Linked DNA regions of Arabidopsis thaliana. The protein of the gene in region 1 interacts with the protein of each later gene in a pairwise test. Each region holds a gene or a part of one and is shown in the gene's direction. Other genes may lie near its edges.

What was found.
Region 2: the proteins of GSTU19 (region 1) and AT3G07540 interact in a protein complementation assay, tested with the Arabidopsis thaliana proteins (one large-scale study listed by BioGRID).
Region 3: the proteins of GSTU19 (region 1) and RLP30 interact in a protein complementation assay, tested with the Arabidopsis thaliana proteins (one large-scale study listed by BioGRID).
Region 4: the proteins of GSTU19 (region 1) and AT2G28960 interact in a protein complementation assay, tested with the Arabidopsis thaliana proteins (one large-scale study listed by BioGRID).

What each region holds. Positions count from the first base shown.
Region 1 is NC_003070.9:29,485,386-29,490,004, reverse strand, and holds GSTU19 (glutathione S-transferase TAU 19), read left to right. Parts: upstream 1-1,997; 5' UTR 1,998-2,185; coding exon 2,186-2,500; intron 2,501-3,001; coding exon 3,002-3,346; 3' UTR 3,347-3,618; downstream 3,619-4,619. UniProt on the Arabidopsis thaliana protein: Catalyzes the glutathionylation of 12-oxophytodienoate (OPDA). In vitro, possesses glutathione S-transferase activity toward 1-chloro-2,4-dinitrobenzene (CDNB) and benzyl isothiocyanate (BITC), and glutathione peroxidase activity toward cumene hydroperoxide.
Region 2 is NC_003074.8:2,403,208-2,409,523, reverse strand, and holds AT3G07540 (Actin-binding FH2 (formin homology 2) family protein), read left to right. Parts: upstream 1-1,889; 5' UTR 1,890-2,059; coding exon 2,060-3,728; intron 3,729-3,811; coding exon 3,812-4,056; intron 4,057-4,149; coding exon 4,150-4,761; 3' UTR 4,762-5,031; downstream 5,032-6,316. Other genes in the region: AT3G07530 (integrator complex subunit), read right to left, coding at 5,244-5,768, 5,855-5,906, 6,254-6,316. UniProt on the Arabidopsis thaliana protein: Might be involved in the organization and polarity of the actin cytoskeleton.
Region 3 is NC_003074.8:1,529,927-1,535,651, reverse strand, and holds RLP30 (receptor like protein 30), read left to right. Parts: upstream 1-2,290; 5' UTR 2,291-2,391; coding exon 2,392-4,752; 3' UTR 4,753-4,984; downstream 4,985-5,725. Other genes in the region: AT3G05365 (uncharacterized protein), read left to right, coding at 560-666, 945-1,084, 1,182-1,276; AT3G05350 (Metallopeptidase M24 family protein), read left to right, coding at 1,809-2,135, 5,396-5,521, 5,624-5,725. UniProt on the Arabidopsis thaliana protein: Receptor for microbe-associated molecular patterns (MAMPs) that induces a BAK1-dependent basal immune response to necrotrophic fungi (e.g.
Region 4 is NC_003071.7:12,436,618-12,444,548, reverse strand, and holds AT2G28960 (Leucine-rich repeat protein kinase family protein), read left to right. Parts: upstream 1-1,956; 5' UTR 1,957-2,201; coding exon 2,202-2,292; intron 2,293-2,598; coding exon 2,599-3,127; intron 3,128-3,221; coding exon 3,222-3,694; intron 3,695-4,035; coding exon 4,036-4,180; intron 4,181-4,276; coding exon 4,277-4,348; intron 4,349-4,535; coding exon 4,536-4,607; intron 4,608-4,710; coding exon 4,711-4,788; intron 4,789-4,867; coding exon 4,868-5,025; intron 5,026-5,129; coding exon 5,130-5,362; intron 5,363-5,438; coding exon 5,439-5,565; intron 5,566-5,663; coding exon 5,664-5,729; intron 5,730-5,805; coding exon 5,806-5,995; intron 5,996-6,082; coding exon 6,083-6,491; 3' UTR 6,492-6,831; downstream 6,832-7,931. Other genes in the region: AT2G28970 (Leucine-rich repeat protein kinase family protein), read right to left, coding at 250-441, 561-630.

The sequences.
Region 1 (4,619 bases):
TAATTATAAACCAAAAAGATGCATTTATGGGTTTAACTTGTTGACAGCTTATTTTATTCATGAATTTACGTTGAGGTTGTTGCGATTTCTACTTTAAGCAAACGGGAAACATCTCACAGTTTTGACTTGTGATCTTTTATCCTACTCTTATTGGTTCTAAAGTGCATACACGTAAGCGTATACATAAGCACTCGCATTTCACAGTAGCCAATCGATTGATTCTAATCTTTGAACATGTAATACACTTCATGGCCACTCTTTTTTTCCGGGAACTATCTTTTTTTTTTGACATGGAAAAAGACCATTTTTTGATTTATAACGTGCATACTGCTGTGTCTTTTTTCTAAATAAATAGTTTTTATCAAATATGTAATCATACTAGGGAAAATCTCATCAAGATCATACGTATTTTTGTACATGACTTTTAAATAGTATATTCGCCGAAAAATACGTTGATGTCTCGGAATTTGACGCCTCAAAAACATTAGAATATACAAAATCAAGTAACGAGTTTGTAGGTTGAAACTAAAATGCCACGTAATACAGTGCGTAGGGTCCATTCGATGTTTCTAGATCAAAGTCTACACACTATAGAGACTTCCAGATACAGATACACATTCGAAATCATCAATGAAAAATAACAATTTAAGTATCTTCTTATCCTAATGTGTGTGTGCTTTTTTTTAGTCAACTATTTTGTGTATATTGTAAGATGTATCATGTTATGACATGAGTATGTTGCTACGTGTCGTGAGATATCGAACCCAACGCAGATATGAGTATGTTGAGCTAGTTTCTTCTTATGAAACAATCATATATGTCTATAATGAATAGATCACATTATCTGCCTGAAAAAAATCCCGTATATTACTCGACGAAATATAAATACCCAATGTAGCTGATTTTGCTTTCTCTGGTGACATATCCAATTTGGCTAAATTTGTTAACTAGTCTATTATAGGTTTATAATAGATCTAGCTATGTTAAAGATACTAAAGCATCAGTTACATAAATTTTTGGCGCGAGTTTATATCTTTTGGAATTAAAAATAAGAGAATTTAAAAATAAGAAGATCATTTTGTTTGGCCACAGGAGTTCTGAAAGGTCAGGTATGATTTTTTTCTTGCTCGCTCTTATGATTTTGTTTTTATTAATGGGTTTTCAAATAAGAAAAACTGTTTTTCGAAGCCCGGTTCAGATCCATTGTTTTTTGTAAAATATAGGCCCAATTCACCATAAGTCCATGACCAAAACAAAAATAAGATAGAACCAATACTGAACCAGGATCTTCTCTCGCTTTCGTGATCAATGTCGCCAAGCTTCTCGAGATCATGTGGTCACGTCAATTGTATAAATACAATTATTGACGTAACACAATCTCTACAGTTCCATCGAAATATCTCGAAAATTTCCAGTTAATTCTGGTAACGTGAACGTATCTTCCACCTCTTCAACCTACACAGCTTTCTAGAAATTTGGCTCGCTTTTCTAAGTCCTCTGTATTTTTTTGCACGTTTTTCAACTAAGTTTCAATATGAATCATTTCTTCTATAAATAAATGATATTTTCATCAGGTAATGATACATTGTGCCGAAATAAAACGTCAATACTCATTAGTCAAATTAATTGTTCACATAATTTAAAACTGTGTTAATCCATCCAGTTATTTTCTTACAACAAAATAATCTTTTCCATCAACTTTTAAAATAATTAAACGCAGTGCTAAGAAATCTAAAATCTTGATTTAGAAATCCATTATGGTTTCTGGTCAACTGAAATCCATAATTTCCTTTAACATCCAAAATCCAAATTTGCTACTATGATAATAGATTTCAGACGATTTTTTTTCTTTTTTCAATCATAGAGTCCACACGAATATTTGCAAGTTACTATATAAAACACTATAATGGTCAACAGATAAAAAAAAGGCGAATGAAGATATGTTACGTAAAAAGAAAATACTGTAATTATAAATTATTACTTTAAAAAGCTTTAAAATCTGGCCACATGTTTTTAAAGAGTGGTGTGACGTAACGACTAGAGTCAGCACAATCCATTATTGTATCATAAATATTCTCATCTATAAATTACCTAAACCCTTACAGGTAGTGTCCCAACCAAACAAATCGAGAAAGACGAACACTTACAAAAAAAAATCTCTTTGTGAGCTTTAGCGATCGTAACAATGGCGAACGAGGTGATTCTTCTTGATTTCTGGCCGAGTATGTTCGGGATGAGGACAAGGATCGCATTGAGGGAGAAAGGTGTTGAATTTGAGTACAGAGAAGAAGATCTAAGGAACAAGAGTCCTTTGCTTCTCCAGATGAATCCGATTCACAAGAAGATTCCTGTTCTCATCCACAATGGTAAACCGGTTAACGAATCTATCATCCAGGTTCAGTACATTGACGAGGTCTGGTCTCACAAGAACCCTATCCTTCCTTCTGATCCTTACCTGAGAGCTCAAGCTAGGTTCTGGGCTGATTTCATTGACAAGAAGGTATCTTATTTCCTTTGTGCCCTTGATTGAATAATGTTGAAATTGAACTTGGGATTTCATAAAAATTGAAACTTTAGTTGAGTTTGCTAGTGATTGGCTCAAATTTAGGGTTTTGCTTGTAGACTCGTCTTTGAGCTTGTATGGGTTTGTCTGATGTTATAATATTACTTGAGTTTGTAGTTGTTAGGGTTAGAGATCTCACCTCCAAATTTCAGATTTTTCTTGTGGACTCATCTCTGAGCTAGTCAGGGTTTGTCTTCTTAGATAGTTTAATGTTATGTTACTTGTGCAATTTGAGGTTTTTACATACTAGTTTCGCTAGTAGATATCATCTTTGAGCTTTGTTTGGGTTCATCTTAGATAGTTTGATGATATGTTTCTTTTGCAATTTGGGGGTCTCTAGGACTGGTTTTGCTTTGTAGACATCATCTTTGAGCTTTGTTTGGGTTCGACTGAGTTCTGACATAGCTTGGTGTTATGTTACTCTGTGCAATGTTTCAGCTGTATGATGCTCAGAGGAAGGTGTGGGCGACAAAGGGTGAGGAACAAGAGGCAGGGAAGAAGGATTTCATTGAGATACTCAAGACTCTTGAATCTGAGCTTGGAGACAAACCTTACTTTAGTGGCGATGACTTTGGCTATGTAGACATTGCGTTGATTGGATTCTACACATGGTTTCCAGCATACGAGAAGTTTGCTAACTTCAGTATCGAATCTGAGGTTCCGAAACTGATTGCTTGGGTTAAGAAGTGTTTGCAGAGGGAGAGCGTGGCTAAGTCCTTGCCTGATCCTGAGAAGGTTACTGAATTCGTCTCTGAGCTCAGGAAGAAATTTGTACCTGAGTAAATATGTTTCTCTTGTCATATGGTTCGGACTTAAGATGCTCTCTGTTTTACTTTCGTGTGTTGTCTTTCTTAAATAATGCAGAGCATCTGTGAGGTGGTTTGAGTGTAGAGAATGTATGTCTTTGCTGTAGCAGATTCCTGTGTTTTCTGGATTTAATGGCTTGTCCTAGTTTTTATGCATTGTAACTATGAGTTTAATTAATGATCGTTAATCTATAATGATTATTAATTTGTTACTTTGATATGTAATTACGCCAATACGACTCTTCTACCTGACCAAGCTTATCACGCCAATGTTGCTGTAAAAGACAATAGTGCAGTTTGGCGATTAAAACCTCCAACATCGAGAATGGTAAGCCGGTCTGGATCTAATAAGCCCAAATTGGCATCCATAAGCCCAAATTGAAATTGGCATCCATAACTCCATATTGTAGTCAATTGGAAGTTATGTGGTTGATGTGATCATTAGTGTCGGTATGATCAGATTAGCCACGGGTTTAGTGTTTCTTGCCGAATTTGAATTCGGTAGATCAAATAACATTACTATGATCCGCACAGTTCATGGGATTTGAATTTGATTTACGATTACAACAACGATATTAACACAGAACTATCCTGTAATTTTTGGGATCGATTAGTAAATTTTAAAATATTATTTCAAAGGCTTTATATATATAAAGAATTTAGAGTATAAACATAGATAAAGCATTATGTATTTATAAATCTTATGCTGATATTGAAAAAATAATGGTGTATGTGATATATTTAATAGAGTGCAATACTCTCTCAATAAATTAGTATAGCTGTTATCACTCCTTGTGTAAATGCGTATTTCTTGTACATGCATGGTAAGTAGCTTGTCCTCGTATGTACCGGATTGTAATGTTTGATATCAAATCAAGGGAATCACGTGGTAAATGTACACCCACCTAACTGAGAGATAATAATACAAACAACTGTGAGTAGGTGGCCACGCCAAAAGTAGAGACTGATGCAGCAACTAAGCAAAGTATTACTTCACTCGATCAACTTTTTATTTTGTTACCTTCTTATAAATCAAGTCGATTTCTATATTGTCAAGTACTAATTCCATTCTAATCTCTTACATATACGTTTAAGGTTTGAATCAGAGCAAAAGATAATCACACTCTTTTATATTAAGTGATGTTTTCACTAGTTGCACACATATGACAATTATTTAACAAAGTTGCAAAATACATTTTAAATCGTTACGGGTAAAAGCTTACTGTTTAAAAGATTTATATATGGACCAT
Region 2 (6,316 bases), on another chromosome or scaffold:
AACGAGAGCGCTGAAGCAGAAATTTTGCTTGCTATGATTTTTTTTTCTTTTCGCATTTGTTTATATTATTATTTTTATTTTATTTTCTAATCCTTCAAATTATTCAATTTTTGAGATTTATGCCGAAGTTGTGTCACCGTACCGTAACTTTAGCAAGTGGTGTGGATTGTGGATTGTGGATTATACATGAGGGTAATGTCAATCCTAAATCATATAAGCACATTTTCTTGAATGAGAATGATCTCTTGAGATGAATAAATGATCTCAATTTCTGAAGACAACTCATTTAAGTGACTACCTTAAGAAGGGTCTTGAGCTAGACAACATGGAAGAGATGTACAAGAAGGTAAATGCAGCAATCCGAGCTGATCGGCTCCAAACAATTGATAACCAATTTTTGGATCCAACAGGAAATTCTGATGCTGCTGAAATAAATCATCAGTGGTAGCAACATCGAGAAAAAACAAGAAAAAAAAAAGCGTATGATGAAAAATGTTCATTGATAAGACATATTGGGCTGTCAAGTGTGAAGCCAGCTGATATTAGGATGAGGTTTGTTTTGTTCCCGCTGATTTGACACATGCTACCAGATGAGTTGTTTTCCTCTGGATTCGACAGGTAATTTGTCTTACGTCTTAACTATGTGTATTTGTAGTTTTGGAGATCTTAATTTTTTGTTATCTAGATATATTTATAAGTTTGCATTCATACTGATATTTAAGTGTATTTTCAAAAGTGTTGTGACTCAACCAAACGTGATCATATCTTCTTAACTTGAATCGCATGTTAAAGAACACTGTCGTTCCAAGGCTTAATTATAACCTATATATGTTGCCCACCCACGAGATAAAAACAATTATTTAGTAATTAGTGTCTCCTTGGATGTTGTGAAGAAGTTGGACTTTTGCATATTAATTCTCCCGCCAGTGTCGCAACAAAGTCTTCATGCTCAGAGTATCAGTTCACATTCGAAACCTGATCTTTCTTACTAGTCTATTGTTATGAGATTGGTTTTTTGGAGTGAAAATGAGCTTCGTGGAACTCTCATCAACCTCGTGAGAACATAACTTCGTGATTGTGTTCTTTGACAAGAAAAGTTGAGCTGTAGTTTTTTTTTAACAAGGTTTTGGGATGACCAGTAGTAAATCAATTGTTGTAATAATTTGGTTGGTAAATATAACATTTGTTTTCTACTAAACATCCAAAAATGGAGGTACGTGAATGAACACATGGTGTGTTGTAACAATTAATCTCAATATGGCCAAACCAAGTCTTCTCCATTTCTAGTCCTTGTCTCTACAACGAAGCTATTGCGCTATTTGTTTTGTTTGTGCAGTACGCTTCCTTCTTCTTATTGCCTTTCTTCTTAGGCGTCATATGACTCTCTTGCATCCTCAAAAACTATGCTGATTAATTTATGCCACACCACCATTTCTCATTGAAAGCTAAATCGAAATTCAAATAAAGTCCCAAAAACATGCAAAAGTTTAATTGACCAAAAAGCTGAAAAGCTTGATGGCGTTTCAAACTAATGCACTAGTTAATTCAATTTCCATAATTACGTAGTAGTTTTTTTGGAGATTATATATTTATTATTCACGAAAAATGTGGATAAGACAAATAAAAGACAAAGCATGCTGCATTGCTTGTTCTACTTTTTCTTTTTCTTTTTCAGACATTTTAGCCCAACTATATACTACTCTTGATTAATTTGAATAGGATTACATAGTATTCCATAACACGAGACAAAATAACAATATTTGGCAAATAGAAATGTTGTCTAGTTGTTTTCCTCGTAGATAAAGATAGTAGTCTCGACTTTAATAATTGGTTTGCATAGAAAAGAGAAGATAGTGTTTTGTATAGTACTAGGCAAAAGTCAAAAAGATTCTTTTGAAAGAGAGGACCCAAATTTACTTGACGTAATTATTGCATTTCATATACGTTCTTCTTCTCTCCCTACTTGATTTTTATTCAAAAACACTAGCATTAAGTCACTCTTTCGTCCTCAGATAGTGCGCATTGCAGAACACAAAATCTCTACAAGAAAACCCCAAAAATGGACGGACTTTGCTACGTCATCTTCATCATCTTCTCCCTGCTATCCTGCGCTTTCTCTCCCTTATCATACGCCTCTCCGGCCACTTTCAGTCGCCGTCACCTTCTTCAAGCTCCTGTAACTGATCCTTCCACATTCTCACCGCCGTTCTTCCCACTTTACAGCTCCACCTCTCCTCCTCCTCCTCCTTCTCCGCCGCAGCCTCTTCCGCCTCCCGCCCCCACTTTTGCGACATTTCCGGCGAACATCTCCGCTCTCGTCCTCCCTCGCTCCCCTAAACCGCAAACTCCTTCCCGTACACTCCTTATTCCTGCTATCTCCGCCGTGCTCGCCGCCGCAACATTAATCGCCTTGGCCTTTTTCTTCTACGGACGGTGGCGAGGGCAAACCAGTCATTTCAAAGATGAATCCAAGAGCTTAGCTTCAGACATTAGCCAATCCCAACAACAAACTCTTCCATGTCCCCCTCCAAGAAACAACAACACTCAAAACAAACTCTCTGTAGCTCCTTCTACCTCCGATGTTCTCTACCTCGGCAACGTCGTCACTTCCTCCGGGTCGGGTTTTGTTAAACCGGAGTCACCAGATATCTCTCCTCTCCCGCCATTACCTGCCCGTAGCTTCCTCCTGCAACATCACTCTGAAGCTAATCTTGATGAAGAAGAAGAAGACGACGACTTTTACTCGCCTCTCGCGTCTATAGCTGGTCAAGAATCACGAGACCGGAGAATCAATCCGTACAGTAACTGTTCTTGCTCTATCTCTTCACACTCGGATTCTCCGGCAATGTCACCGTCAGCTGCGATGTCTCCACCGATGAACTCGACGGCTCCACATTGGTCAACTAACCAAAACACTCACTCTCCGTCGTCGCCGGAGAGAACAGTAAGGAACAATAAGAGATATGGTGGGCAGTCGCTGAGAATGTTTAGCCTCTGGAATCAAAATCTAGGGTTTCCAAGAATTTCCTCTGCTTCTACTTCACCAGAGAGAGGTATGATTAGAACTCCAGACGCATATGCTCGTTCTTCTATGTACTCTTCAGTTTCCACCACGCCGGATCGGTTTTTCCGCAAGGTTCTTGATAGTTCGCCGCCGAGATGGAACGATTTCAGTCGAAATGTCAAGTCTTTGTTTCTTTCTTCAACTTCTGCATCACCTGCTAGAGATTTTTGTATCAACATCTCTGAATCTTCTAGAAGTTTGAAATCTTCTTGGGAAAAACCAGAGCTTGATACAACTCAACAGAGAGAATCGGCCGCTGCTGCTGTTACTCTTCCTCCTCCACAACGACCACCACCGGCAATGCCTGAGCCACCTCCTCTTGTGCCACCGTCACAGTCTTTTATGGTTCAGAAATCTGGAAAAAAGCTATCTTTCTCGGAGTTACCACAGAGTTGTGGGGAAGGAACAACAGATCGACCTAAGCCAAAGCTGAAACCTTTGCCTTGGGACAAAGTCCGACCAAGTTCTCGTCGGACAAATACTTGGGACCGTCTTCCATACAACTCTTCAAATGCTAACTCTAAACAGAGAAGTCTTAGCTGTGATCTTCCGATGCTAAATCAAGAGAGCAAAGTTTTGGATCCAAGGAAGAGTCAAAATGTTGCTGTTCTGCTTACAACACTTAAGCTCACCACAAATGATGTTTGTCAGGCCCTTCGAGATGGTAAATCATCAATGACAAAGCTAATTTCTTCTCATTATTCGGATTGTATCGAGTTGAATCTGACTTGTCTTTTATTTCATCAGGTCACTATGATGCACTTGGAGTTGAGCTTCTTGAGAGTTTAGCAAGAGTGGCACCGAGCGAAGAAGAAGAGAAGAAGTTGATTAGCTATAGTGATGATTCAGTGATCAAGCTTGCTCCATCAGAGAGGTTTCTCAAGGAATTGCTTAATGTTCCTTTCGTGTTCAAACGGGTTGATGCATTGCTCTCTGTTGCTAGTTTTGACTCCAAAGTCAAACACTTGAAAAGATCATTCAGCGTTATACAGGTATAAAACAAAGATGAAGATAACAAGAGACATTTATGAATGTGTATGTTGTTGTAAGCTTACGTCTCATAAAGCTATATGATTCTTTTGCAGGCTGCTTGTGAGGCACTGCGAAATAGCAGAATGTTATTGAGACTTGTTGGAGCTACCTTGGAGGCTGGAATGAAGAGCGGGAATGCTCATGACTTCAAACTTGAGGCGCTCCTCGGCCTTGTCGATATCAAATCGTCAGATGGAAGAACCAGTATCTTGGATTCTGTTGTACAGAAGATCACTGAATCAGAAGGAATCAAAGGGCTACAAGTTGTCAGAAATCTCAGTTCAGTTCTTAACGATGCCAAGAAATCTGCAGAGTTGGACTACGGTGTTGTAAGAATGAATGTGTCAAAGCTTTATGAAGAAGTTCAGAAAATTAGTGAGGTTCTGCGACTGTGTGAGGAGACTGGACACAGTGAGGAACACCAATGGTGGAAATTCAGGGAGTCGGTGACCAGATTCTTGGAAACTGCTGCTGAGGAGATTAAAAAGATTGAAAGAGAAGAAGGTTCCACGCTCTTTGCAGTGAAAAAGATAACAGAGTATTTCCATGTTGATCCTGCAAAGGAAGAAGCTCAGCTATTGAAAGTATTCGTAATCGTGAGAGACTTTTTAAAAATTCTAGAGGGAGTATGCAAGAAGATGGAGGTGACTAGTTCTCTGGCTTAGATGTCGTGTCATAAAGATCCTAGGATCTGTCCAAGACTAATGTATTGTGTTACCTTTATAAGTTATGTACTTATATGTTTGTATGAATCGTTGGAGAGCTACGTTGTATGTAAATAGATGCAGCTTTTACAAACATATAAGTGGCTTGAAGACCATATAATATCTCAAACTCAGAGATCCACTTTATTCTTCTTCTTTGTTATTTATTACATTTTCTTAGTTTACTGGTTCTTTAAGAATCCTTAATAAATAATATTCAGTCAAGCCTCGAAATATGAAGTACATAAGATGAATCTCAAAACAATACTCACAGAATACAATGATTAACATTTAATCATGCATATAGTACATAAGATTATATTATTTTCTATATATAGTATGTTACAGAGAGTATTTCCGAACCAATCATAATTACAAGGTTTATCTGAACTGGTCACTCTATTACACTAATAGCTCTGGTGAGTCAATGCTTGATACTTCCTCTATATACCGTCAAGAACTCCATCAATCGCCTGGAAGACCTGAGAGACTACATTCTCATCGCCTGTTATAATAGCAGTACCCATCTCTGAGAACTCTATCAGGCCACTGTTAGGATTTTCTATATGGATTATACTCTTGTCTTCTGATCCATTATCACCTGTACTCTGTTCGATGGATCCTTTTATTCCCATTTTCAGTAATGCGTCTAAAAGTAATTCCGGAGCCACTGAGCCCCAATGCCTCAATGGCCGAGCCTTTCCTGAACTTTCTTCCTGCTCCAACCCGGAAACTAATCTGTGTTTCCCATCTTCCATCAGAAGCCCACCTTTCAATCTTGCAATACCGAAGCTTTCACGTTGCCTCAGTTTTCTCCAGCTCAATTTGGAGGCCAAGTCTGTCGTAATCTCTACGCTTGGATTGTCTACAATTCTTGGTACATGTAGCGTCTTGTTCTCAAAGTAATTCAGGATTGAGATGGTCTTTATCGCAGCCAAACTGATCCTCTGATTGACAGCATCAGGGACCTATTCATAATATGGTATTAGATAGAAGAATATAGACAGATGCAGGATGTAAATATTTCTTCACCAGAGTGGAAGAGAATACTTACCAAGAAAATCTTTGGCTGCAAAACGGATACAAGTGTTGGGAGCTTCTGCAACCTGCAAAAGAAACTACAGCATTGAGCAATGGTAGACAAGCCAATTTAGATCACACATTTGGCCGCTGGACTACATGATGACAAGCTTAACTTGTGAGCTGCCATGATATTTGGAAACTAATATTTTGGGATATAGTGAGATATTACTGGTCATTAAATAGCAACAATGCATATGTGGTGAGTCAAATCTATACTATCAGTCAAGGTATGCCCTTGCACAAGAACCCAGGTTAATTCCTATTTTGTGCAGACACAACTCAGATTCCTTGATCCAAGACGACAGAAAAAAACAACTACGAAGCACCAGAATAAAATGTAGTCTTAATCATAAAGCCAAGCAAACCTTACCTTATTCCAGAAAGAAATGAACATTGGAGAATTTTCATCGCTATCGGTCTAAAAGGGAGAAGT
Region 3 (5,725 bases), on another chromosome or scaffold:
TTGTAAAAATGGTTGCAGAACAAAATGATGAGGAAGTTTTTTAGTATCACATAAGTCCAGATTCAAGTTTTTTTCAATTGTATCTAAAACACACACAACTTTCAGATTGAATAAAATCTGAATTTCATTCTCAGCAGAGGCTAATATAAAAATGACAAAAGAAGAGGAGGAGGATAGGAGCTATATGTCTACTATTTTTATTTTTTTAGCCAATGAGAGAGCTCCACTTCATACCCCACTTTTACCAATCGAGCGATTTCACAACCAGTCTCACCCATGTCGCGTTGAGCGCGTGTCTACGATTTCTAAAGGGGTTTGTCCACAGAAATCATGCCTTTTTTGATCCACGCAACTCACTCTCAAAAATCCATCGCGTGTCTTATTTTTTTTGGTTTTCTTCTCTAAACCAAATTAAACCGAACCGAGATCAATTTGAATTTCAAAACCAATGTAAACCCATCAAACCCATCGCTGTGAAAACAAAAAGCTCGGCCACTGTAACAACAAAAATGGAGACGACACAACTTGGAAGAGAAATCAACTCTAAATAGCCAAGAGAATGTTCGAAAACCCCCTCAAATCCGATGCTTCCTTTGATTCCAACCTCCAAAAGCCCATCTGCTCAAATCTTCATTTCGAGGATGAGGACTCGAGGAGTATTACAAGGTACCTCAATAGAATCAATGGCTTCCATGGATTTTGAAACTTTACTTCTAATAAACACCATTGTAATGTCTTGTTGTGAAGTTGTGTAAGGAACAAAGGATAGTGAAAGCTGAAGAGTGGGATTCGTTTATGGAGTTTCAGAGTTTTTTTTGACTAAGTGGCCTCTGTTTTTGATTCTTCAGTGGTCAATTTTGTGATGGGATTTGATTGAAATTGGAGAATGATTTCATGAAATCTCTTCGGGCTGAGGTTGATTCATGACTCTTTCATTTTTCTAGTGTCTCATTGATGATAGACATAAGAAGCATACTTAAGGCCATAGAGAGTGGTGAATTGGAGGCAATCAAGCCTTTGCCTTGGTACCCTAAGAATCTTTCTTTTCACGGAAGGAGATTAGAAAAAACCAGATACTTGAGAGGTACATTTTCATGCCAGTTGCTTCAGAACAAGTATTCACTTCCATTCCCTTACTTGTGTTAGTTCAGCGCTTGAGAAATATTATGATCTTGTTTCAGACTTTCAGCTGTCAAGAGACAAGGCCCGTTTTACTATCAGGTTAAAATCATGGTCAGCTTCTTGTCCCAAACCACATTGTTGCAAGGTTTTGTAATAAATCTTGGCTCGATAATGCATTCAGAAACTTCTTCTACTCATATCTCAAAATATGTTTTGAATTCTAAACCCCATGGTTATCAATATAAAGAATATTAGTATCTATTTTTCTCTTTTCTGGTGTGGTTGCAATTTATCGTTTGTCTCTTTCGTGGAAACCCTTAATTCAGGCGGTATTAAGTCTTTCTCATAAAACTTTCTAAGTCAAACCAAAATTCCAATCGAAATTCTCAGCATGAAAGTCTCGAACACGTTTACATTTCTTACGCACCCAAAGACTCTTGCTTCTTGCACACGTCTCTCTTGGCTGTCCTTTACCATAACGAATTTGATGAGATTGTTTCAAAATAAAATGTTTCTTTTTGACAAGTCTGGGATTTTAATGTAATTATCAATAGTCATGCACATTATACAACATTTAAAAGAATACGGGGGTTGTTTTGCAATTTTCAGTAGTTATACACATTTATCCGTAATCACTCTGCTCAAGAAGCTTCTCCTCTTGTGTGATTCTCCTGCAATCGCTGGTGATGATTCCTCTAACTCTTTCGTCGCCGTCTCTGAATCGGCTCGTTTTATCCACATCACGTTACTCACACTCTCTATTTCTCAGCAATTTCAATTCGCTCTCTCTGATCCACCGGAAATTACCGTATAAACCTCTTTTTGGCGCAAGGTGTCATGCTAGTAGCAGCAGCAGCAGCTCTTCCTCCTTCACGGCAAAGTCTTCCAAAGAGATTCGTAAAGCTCAAACCAAAGTAGTTGTCGACGAGAAGCTTAGCTCGATCCGGCGACTGTTTTCGGAGCCGGGTGTTGGAATCGACGCTTATATCATACCTTCACAAGATGCACATCAGGTTCTCTTTTTTTAAACCTCTTCTTAACTCGTGATTACGAATTGAATAGGAAGTTCTAGTAGATTCAAAACTGTTCAATTGTGTGTGTTTTTAAGTCAATTATTGGTCCAAGTGGGCAAGTTTGACTATAGAAAGGAGTAGGTAGAAGTCTACTAGAGAGCTGCAAATTTGTGTTTTGTTTTCTATTTTTCTCTCTCTCTAAATAGAGACGTAGAAGCCATAGCTATCATAACCTGTTACTTACAAAACAAACAAAATGATTCCAAGCCAATCTAATTCCTTTTCTGGTAGTGTTATTACCTTGTATTTCTTCCTCCTGGGTTCCCTTGTTCTACGCACTCTTGCTTCTTCTAGGCTTCACTATTGCCGCCATGACCAAAGGGATGCTCTTCTCGAGTTCAAACACGAGTTTCCGGTAAGTGAATCGAAGCCAAGTCCATCGTTGAGTTCATGGAACAAGACTAGTGATTGCTGTTTTTGGGAGGGTGTCACGTGCGATGATGAATCTGGCGAGGTGGTTTCACTTGACCTTAGTTATGTCCTTCTCAACAACTCTTTGAAACCAACTAGTGGTCTTTTCAAACTCCAACAACTCCAGAACCTGACTCTCAGTGATTGCCATCTCTATGGAGAGGTTACTTCTTCACTAGGAAACCTTTCTCGTCTCACGCATCTTGACCTTTCGAGTAATCAGCTGACAGGTGAAGTTCTGGCTTCGGTCAGTAAGCTAAACCAACTTAGAGACCTTTTACTTTCCGAAAACAGTTTTAGTGGTAACATTCCTACTTCATTTACCAATTTAACGAAGCTTTCTAGTTTAGACATCTCTAGCAATCAGTTCACATTGGAAAATTTCTCTTTCATACTACCAAATTTAACCAGCTTGTCCTCCTTAAACGTTGCCTCTAATCACTTTAAATCCACGCTTCCATCTGATATGAGTGGACTCCACAACTTGAAATATTTTGATGTGCGTGAGAATTCATTTGTCGGGACTTTTCCTACATCCTTATTCACGATTCCTTCGTTACAAATTGTTTATTTGGAAGGAAACCAGTTCATGGGACCTATAAAGTTTGGGAATATATCTTCATCTTCTAGGCTTTGGGATCTAAACCTTGCTGATAACAAATTCGATGGGCCAATCCCTGAATATATATCTGAAATTCACAGTCTCATAGTACTAGATCTTAGCCACAACAACTTAGTTGGGCCAATCCCCACTTCTATATCAAAGTTGGTCAACCTTCAGCATCTTAGTCTTTCAAACAATACCTTGGAAGGCGAAGTGCCAGGTTGCTTATGGGGATTGATGACAGTGACACTTTCCCACAATTCTTTCAACAGTTTTGGAAAGTCATCATCCGGAGCTTTGGATGGAGAATCAATGCAGGAGTTGGATCTTGGTTCGAATTCACTTGGAGGACCTTTTCCCCATTGGATCTGCAAGCAAAGGTTCTTAAAGTACTTAGACTTGTCCAACAATCTCTTCAACGGCTCAATTCCTCCTTGTTTGAAAAATTCCACTTATTGGCTTAAAGGGCTAGTTCTGCGTAACAACAGCTTCAGCGGATTTCTCCCAGACGTATTTGTCAATGCTAGCATGTTATTATCACTTGACGTTAGCTACAACCGGTTGGAGGGAAAACTTCCAAAATCCCTGATCAATTGCACTGGTATGGAACTTCTGAATGTGGGAAGCAACATAATCAAGGACACTTTTCCATCCTGGTTGGTTTCTTTGCCATCATTACGTGTCCTCATCCTCAGATCTAATGCATTCTATGGGTCGTTATATTATGACCACATATCTTTTGGGTTTCAACATTTGAGACTCATTGATATATCACAGAATGGCTTCAGTGGAACTTTGTCACCTTTATATTTCTCCAATTGGCGTGAGATGGTGACATCTGTCTTAGAAGAAAACGGCTCTAATATAGGTACAGAGGATTGGTACATGGGCGAGAAAGGGCCCGAGTTCAGCCATAGTAATTCGATGACTATGATATATAAAGGAGTAGAAACGGACTTCTTGCGGATCCCATATTTCTTCAGAGCCATTGACTTTTCTGGAAACAGATTTTTTGGGAATATACCTGAATCCGTTGGTTTGTTGAAGGAATTGCGTCTTCTCAATTTGTCAGGTAACTCATTCACAAGCAATATCCCTCAGTCATTGGCAAATTTGACAAATCTTGAGACATTGGACCTATCCCGGAATCAGCTATCAGGTCACATCCCTCGAGATCTTGGTAGCCTCTCTTTTCTGTCGACCATGAATTTCTCCCATAACCTTCTCGAAGGTCCAGTTCCACTAGGCACTCAGTTTCAAAGCCAACATTGTTCTACATTCATGGACAACCTCAGACTCTACGGTCTTGAGAAAATCTGTGGAAAAGCTCATGCCCCGAGTTCTACACCACTAGAATCCGAGGAATTTTCGGAACCAGAAGAACAAGTGATTAACTGGATAGCAGCGGCAATAGCCTACGGACCTGGTGTGTTTTGTGGATTAGTTATTGGACATATCTTCTTTACTGCACACAAACACGAGTGGTTCATGGAAAAATTCCATCGAAACAAGCGCAGAGTAGTCACCACAAGTGCTCGTTGAACACCATCACCTCTCACAATTTCTCTGAGTGATTGTGAAACGTATATGTTTGTTATGATATCTGTCAGTTGTGTTATGCATAAACTCTTTGTCTTTGTAATTTTCTACTTTATGGTATTGTAAGAAACGGCTTTGGTGGTATCTGATCTTCTATATGTTGGGTTGAAAATGCATTCAGATTTTTCTTCCTAGTCAAATCTCAACTTGTCATAAGAGGATGTTTCAATTGTAGAGCCAAATGGAAGTTCTTCTTCTTCTAAATCACAGTATGAAATTCTCCAACTCGTGTTTTATTTCATTCTCCCCAAAGTTTCTTGCTCCGCTCACACGTCAATCTTGCTGTCCCTGAGTATACCAAATTCGATTTGGAGATTCAAGATAAAAAATAAATATGATTTGGACCAGTGCGGGGGTTGTTATGCATCTATGCAATTGTTTTTGCCATTTTGATATGGGTAATGTGTTGTTTCGGTGAATTTTACATACTAGGAGCTTAAGATCTACTTTCATAACTGATGTTGCCTGTAATATATTTCTGTGCCATTAGGAAAGTCACAAATTTATGTTTTACTTCTAAATGTATCCATAAACTGCCTGAGTTTTTCATGGCTTGAGTGTGATTTTTCTCCATATTTTGTACTAGAGCGAGTTCATCGCAGAGTGCTATGCCAGGAGGGCTTATATATCAGGATTTACTGGAAGTGCTGGTACCGCTGTTGTCACCAAGGATAAGGCAGCTCTATGGACAGATGGCCGCTATTTTCTTCAGGTTTTGATCATTATCGTCCTTTAAAATTATTTGATTGCCATCTCATATTGAAAGGAAATGTGGAGTTTCTTATCTACATTCTCTGCAATTATTCTATCAAAGGCGGAGAAGCAATTAAACTCTAGTTGGATTCTCATGCGGGCTGGTAATCCGGGAGTCCCCACGGCGAGTGAATGGATAGCTGATGTTTTGGCGCCTGGTGGA
Region 4 (7,931 bases), on another chromosome or scaffold:
TTCTATAGATGATATTATTGGCGAGGTTGGTCCTGTTTTAACAAGACAAATATCCAAAGAGCTTGACCTCACTCTGTGTATGATCTCCTCGAATGTACCATTTTGTCTTCCTTCCATATCTATTCTTGCCCACTTATCAGGACCAAGATAGAGATCAAAGTTTGGATAAATATTAAGACCATCATAATTTCCATATATGAAGGTAACCAATATAAGATAATTTGTGCCACGAGTGACATTCAGACTAACAATTACGCTTTCCTTCCGGAAAGTATCTTAGAGTCAAATATGGTTTTCGGAATATTTTGTTGAGCTCTTTATCGACTCTACCACTTTCTCCAGTCTGGATAAATGTTGAATCTGATGTGAATGTTAATCCAGTAGATGGATCACTATAAGGAGATTCCTCAATAGGAAATCCGCAATCCAAACTGATGAAACCTGTTCAAGCATAAAAAGGATCGACGAAGTTTAAAAAAAAACTATATATAGAAGATATATCAATTTAAAGGATGGATGATCCTCGGTGAATATCTACTAAAGAGTTTATAAATTATTACCTTCTTGTTTTTGGGCGCCAACTATAACGGCAAAGGTTCCAATTATGGCCAACAAAAGATGGCTCATCATCTTCTTGGAAAGCTAATATGGAAATCAAGAACATAAAAAAGACTTGCTTAGTGAAAACAAGGAGCTACGTAAATGAGAAATACCTCACATACACAGATTGGAAGGAATAATACATTAAAGAAAGTCAACTTAAGCCAGACATGAAGATTGAATAATTGCGAGAATTGCTTTATTTTTGGTTTATTGTGTGAATTTCTTTGACATGTTCCAACCCCAACTTGTGTTTAAAATAATAGGTTATGATCATAAGACTCCGACATGTATAGGAATTTCCTTGTATTAAGGTTTGTATATGTCTTCTTTAAACCCTTGACCAAACATAATAAATCTTCGATTGATCGTTAGACTTGGAGCACAAGGATATAACAAGGTTTGATTTAAGTAATTAGTTTGAACCCGGTCGTTACAAAAAAGGATTTACTACATATGAAAAACAATTACATATTACAACCTATTTGAAACATTACGTCTGATTCACATAAAGAAACATTACGTCTGATCCACAATAATTATAGACGTAACTTATGTAACTTGTTGTAGAATAATTATGTAAAAGAGAGAATTCGTATATTACAACATGGACAGGAAAAAATAAAGATAAAGATCATTTTGTTTGATTCAATGATTTGCTTCTTACAAACTCAGGTATTTATACAAATAATGTGCATCAAGGTAGCCAGTACTAAATTTTAAAAATATATTTACAACCACACTTTAACTATTACAAACTTGTTAAAAAAGCAACAATAAAAAATAAGAATTATCACATAATTAATATTTTTATATAGTTAACACATACAGTTTCCGATTGTCAAAGCTCCATTAAAAAAGCAAATTGTGAACCAAGTGGATAATGGTCCAGTAGCGTTTGGAAATGATCTTTCCAAAATAAGGTTTGATCTCTTTTCCCACTAAATCCCACCTAACAAGGGATATTAACAAAGGTTGATGTAGAATTTCTTGGTTGACAATGTATAGTAATACTGAGAATATGAGCTATAACTATAAGAGGCCAGCTATCTCTTAACGTCTATGAGTAAGCCATAGATAGATAATGCATATACAGGCAAACAAAACGAATATTAGGGTTTGTCAAGAAAAGACTAATCTTAGTTTATTTTTGAAGACCAAGAATTTTACATTATTGCAGAGGTATTGCGATTATAATTGAGTGAAAGTCAACAAAATGTATTAAATCCACCAAGTTGTTGTTAAGTACAAGTCGTTAGCAGAATTATCATATAGTTTATAAAGCTTTGACATTAGATCAACTTGGCAGGTTTTACATTGTTTAAACAAAGATTACATCAGGTGCTTTGATTTATGATTAAATTGCTCTCTTTTTTCCACAAAGTGGAATATAAATGTATATATCTTTGTTAGACCATTCTTCAGTCGTGCTTGGATATGAATCTATAATTGGAGAGTATTCCACGCCAACATGTGTTTTGGATTTTAATTGATCTTCATCTAAAGTATTTCTATCATTTGTACTAGAAAATCAATATATTGTATCATATATTTCAGATTGTCTTTGGTTTCAAAAATTTGTATGTTAACTTAACTTGAAAATGGAAGGTCGTCGTCAACGTTTACTGGTGTTCATCTTTGGGGCTTTGGCCATTACACATCTTGTTCAAGCTCAGCCGCCTGATCAACGAGGTTTCTCTATATACCTTTTTTTAATAATTGCTTCATGTTCAGTTTTTGACACATAAAGACTTAAGGATTAGCCAAGTAGTTGAGTGTTCTTGCTCGACTGGTCGAGATCACTAACCGATTTCTACTTTGTTGTACGCATAGCCACCATGAAAATAATATTAACGATTACAGATATAAGAGATTTGGTTAAAGAAAATAAAGGATTCTCTGTTTTCCAAAACTTTTGATTGTCTTCCTTATAAGCTTCATGGTCTAACAAAAGGAAAACATTATTTTTCACTAATAATACATTTTGTATCTTGCCAGGATTCATCAGTTTGGATTGCGGTTTACCCGTTAATGAGTCTCCTTATACCGACCCACGAACCGGATTAACATTCTCATCTGATGCTGATTTTATTTTAAGTGGTTTACGTGGTGAAGCTGGGGATGATAACACATATATCTACAGGCAGTACAAGGATTTGAGATATTTTCCCGATGGAATACGAAACTGCTATAATCTGAAAGTAGAGCAAGGCATCAACTATTTGATAAGAGCAGGGTTCGGATATGGAAATTATGATGGTCTTAATGTATATCCCAAATTTGATTTACATGTTGGGCCTAACATGTGGATTGCGGTTGATTTGGAATTCGGAAAAGATCGTGAGATCATTTACATGACAACGTCGAACTTATTGCAGATTTGTCTTGTCAAAACAGGATCAACTATACCAATGATATCAACCTTGGAACTACGGCCACTAAGAAATGATTCATATTTGACTCAATTCGGTCCCTTAGACCTCATCTACCGGCGGGCCTATAGTAGCAATTCTACCGGTTTTATACGGTATGTAAACTCAACTTTAGCAACTCTTTTATAAAAAAAAACAATCTAACATGATTCATTTACTTTTGCATGGCTACTCCAAAAATGGTTTTAGGTATCCTGATGATATTTTTGATCGCAAATGGGACCGATATAATGAATTTGAAACGGATGTGAACACCACCCTCAACGTGAGATCCTCGAGTCCCTTTCAAGTACCAGAAGCTGTAAGTAGGATGGGAATCACGCCCGAAAATGCCAGCTTGCCATTGAGATTTTACGTGTCTCTAGATGACGACAGTGACAAGGTTAACGTGTACTTTCACTTTGCCGAAATCCAAGCTTTGAGGGGCAATGAGACTAGAGAATTCGACATTGAATTGGAAGAAGATATTATTCAGTCAGCATATAGTCCTACGATGTTACAATCAGATACCAAATATAACCTATCACCTCACAAATGTAGCTCCGGGTTGTGCTACTTGAAACTCGTTAGAACTCCAAGGTCAACTCTTCCACCGCTGATTAGTGCTATTGAGGCTTTCAAGGTTGTGGACTTTCCATACGCTGAAACAAATCCAAATGACGGTACGCCACTATTCCATTCTCTATTCTGTAAGAAAGGGCTTATTTGCAAAAAAAAAAAAAACAATCACAAAATTGGGGGAAAAATAATGGTCACAAAACGGAGAAAATATTCATGTGTTTATCGTGTTTAATTTGAAATATTGTACTACCATGTTAAAAATTGTGTTATGAAATATGACATGATATTTGTTAAAAATAGCGCGATAAATGAACCAACTTAATCTTTTTTTTTTTTGCAAATAATAGGGTGGAATTTTTGTTTATTTAGTACATACCCTCATTAAGAAACTTTAATCTTTTATATGCTAATTCTTGGCTTCCTCCTCGAACCATTATGTTAGTCGCTGCTATGAAGGATATCGAAGCATTTTATGGATTGAAGATGATTAGTTGGCAAGGAGATCCTTGTGTCCCTGAACTATTAAAGTGGGAAGATCTAAAATGCAGCTACACAAATAAGTCTACTCCTCCAAGAATTATTTCTTTGTACGATCATTATATATCTCATAAGCATATTGAAACCTAAATCTCTTAAGTCTTAAGTATCTTATATCTGAAAAAATGTTCTTATATTGTGAACAGAGATTTGTCATCACGAGGGTTAAAAGGGGTCATTGCGCCTGCCTTCCAAAATTTGACCGAGCTTCGAAAACTGTAAGAGCTATTAGTATTTTACTTAAACGCGATCCATGAGAAAACATTTATATTGTGACCAACATATTTCTAATTTTTCACATCTTATAACAAATTGGACGAAAAAAAATATCTCATCTCATACTATTTTTTTATTTATCCTATTAACGGAAAATAGATTGACTTTTTAACGTTTTATAAATACTAGAGACTTGTCAAATAATAGTTTTACTGGAGGAGTGCCCGAGTTTCTAGCCAGCATGAAGTCATTATCGATCATGTAAGTTGATATAAACAAACATAATGGCCGGCCACTTATATTTCACTAGGTATACTTGTTGTCACTTTACATTGACATTGTAATTTTGTGTTTACCTTGACAGAAATTTAAATTGGAATGACCTTACGGGTCCTCTTCCTAAATTGCTTCTTGATAGAGAAAAGAATGGGCTTAAGCTAACGTAAGATTTTCACCCTTCTTTTTTTTTTATCAACTTTCCTCAACCTATAGTCTTATTCAACAACACTTATTTTCTTAAGGATCCAAGGAAACCCAAAGTTGTGTAACGATGCGTCATGCAAAAATAATAACAATCAAACGTACATTGTACCAGTTGTTGCGTCAGTAGCTTCTGTGCTCATCATTATAGCCGTACTGATTCTCATTCTTGTTTTCAAAAAGAGAAGGCCAACGCAAGGTACATAATTATACAATGAGATATATATTCTTATCGTAACATGCATGCATGATGATGACATACCAAAAGATGCCTAATCTCATGGAACTTTTTGGTTGTGACAGTTGATTCATTACCTACAGTGCAACATGGGTTACCAAATAGACCGTCTATATTTACTCAAACGAAAAGGTTCACTTATTCAGAGGTAGAAGCATTAACAGATAATTTTGAAAGAGTTCTTGGAGAAGGAGGGTTTGGGGTAGTGTATCATGGTATTTTAAATGGTACGCAACCAATAGCTGTTAAACTACTCTCTCAATCATCAGTACAAGGCTATAAGGAATTCAAAGCTGAGGTATGTTAATACATAATACATGGAATATATTGTAACATGTGATGGCTCTTAAATTTGTTTGGACATGGGTGGTCAGGTTGAACTTCTTTTGAGAGTGCACCACGTCAATTTGGTTAGTTTGGTTGGATATTGTGATGAAGAAAGCAACTTGGCCCTGCTTTATGAGTATGCACCGAACGGAGACTTAAAACAACATCTATCAGGTATAAATTTGAATTTCCCACATTTTAAAATAGTGATTACTTAGCCATATTTTAATGTTCATGCTTTTATAACATTACTAAAAGTTTCTTAATTATAGGAGAACGGGGTGGCTCTCCATTGAAGTGGTCAAGTAGACTAAAAATTGTCGTCGAAACTGCGCAAGGTTCGTTCTTAGCTCAAATGCATTAATCACTTTATATGGATCATCTAACATGAACAATTTAATTATATAAATATAGGATTAGAATACTTGCATACGGGTTGCAAACCTCCAATGGTACATCGTGATGTAAAAACAACAAATATACTTTTAGACGAACACTTCCAAGCAAAACTCGCCGATTTTGGCCTTTCAAGATCATTTCCAGTTGGAGGTGAAACTCATGTTTCAACAGCTGTTGCTGGAACTCCTGGATATTTGGATCCCGAGTAAGTTTTACATCACCAAACTAGTTTGATTCAAATTGTTTTTCCTCATTCATTTGAAAAAAAAAATACTTCATGTTTTGTTTGTAGATATTATCGAACAAATAGGTTGAACGAAAAGAGTGATGTATATAGCTTTGGGATTGTATTATTGGAGATCATCACAAGTCGACCTGTGATTCAGCAAACCCGAGAGAAGCCGCACATAGCAGCATGGGTGGGATACATGCTTACTAAGGGAGATATTGAGAACGTTGTGGATCCAAGACTCAATAGAGATTATGAGCCTACTTCTGTTTGGAAGGCTCTTGAGATAGCAATGTCTTGCGTGAATCCTTCTTCGGAGAAAAGACCAACCATGTCTCAAGTTACTAATGAACTAAAGCAATGTCTAACATTAGAAAACTCAAAGCGAGGAGTGAGAGAAGACATGGGATCAAGAAGTTCTGTTGAAATGAGCACAAGCTTTACAACCGAAATTAACCCAAAAGCACGATAACTTGTGCCAAAAAAAATCCCATGGTTATTAAGGATTTTGGATTTCCCTGACTTACTTTACAAAAATATAATTTTTGGTGGTCATTTATTTGTACGACTTCATTGTATTTACTTGTGATTGTGGTCGTATGTGATATTAGTGTGGATGTTTTGTTTGGTTTGGTTTGGTTTGGTTTTATGTTGGTTGTGGCCTTGTGTGTGTTTTGGCGGTGATCCATCATAAATGATTCTTTTGCAAATCTCTGATGATTTTTTTCATCGGATTATGGTATTTTTATTGTTTATATATGCTCACTGATCCAAAATATGTTGTCATTGTTTATGTTACATGCTTCCCTAACTCCTTTTGTAATTGATCAAAAACTTTTGTTTGATAATTATCAAGTTTTGGACTAGTTCTTTTGGTCCATGGACTACAAATCTGCTTCCATCTAATGTTTCTCTGGACCAGTCTCATAATTATACATTTGTTGTTCACATAGTACATCTCCATAATATCATATATTTGACTTTCGGTATGAAATCTTTGTATATATATAGGTTGGACCAAGAAGTTAGGATTCATAATCATAAAAAGTAAGAAAGACGACTAGTTCACGACTCACATCAAATTCCAAAGTATAATTTTCTTCGTAAAATGAAAGTTATATTAGATGAAAATCTTGCAGGTCCATTGGATATCAATTCACGAGATATGTAAACATACCTATATTAATATCACATTATTTTGATTGTATTTGTATAAGTTTTCGCCTACTCACATGCCATGATTTTGCATAAGCTGTTTTTTTTTTTTTGCATAAGCTTATCAGGCTAGTTACGGTCACATTAGTTACTAGAACATTCAACATATATAATTTTCCATAGCAGGATCCGGGTTCCATGTTTGTAAGAGGATTAATGAGAGCATATTTATTTTGATTTCTTTCTATTAATGCGAAAACGGTTATGTGTGTGAACAAGTTGAAAATGGTTGGTTCAGTTTATAGCAACGTCTTCTGCCTATTCAATGTCTCTTTACCAACAAAAAACTTGAATATTTTCTTTTTCTTATCATATAAGCATTACGTTAAACGTCAGAACGAAAATGCACTATGTGAGAAAGTGTTATTCGCAATTTGAAAGCTTTAATGTTTCCAAAACAAAACTGTTAACTTAGTTTTTTTTTAAAAGGTCTATATCAGTTTCTTGTTTGCTGTAAACAGTTAGCCAGTCAAAATATCTGAAACAATAACAGAACTGATCACTAATAACAATAAAATAGAATGAATGATATAATTGTTAAAGCTATCTATGTTAGAGTCAGATATGATTTGGTGTAATCACATGGTGAGACACAGTTTCATAGGGTGGGGACTACCGCATTGGATTCGTAAAACCTCTACGAAGAAAATTTTCACGATTTGGGTACGTAGCCATACGCCAATGGTCCACGTAGTTT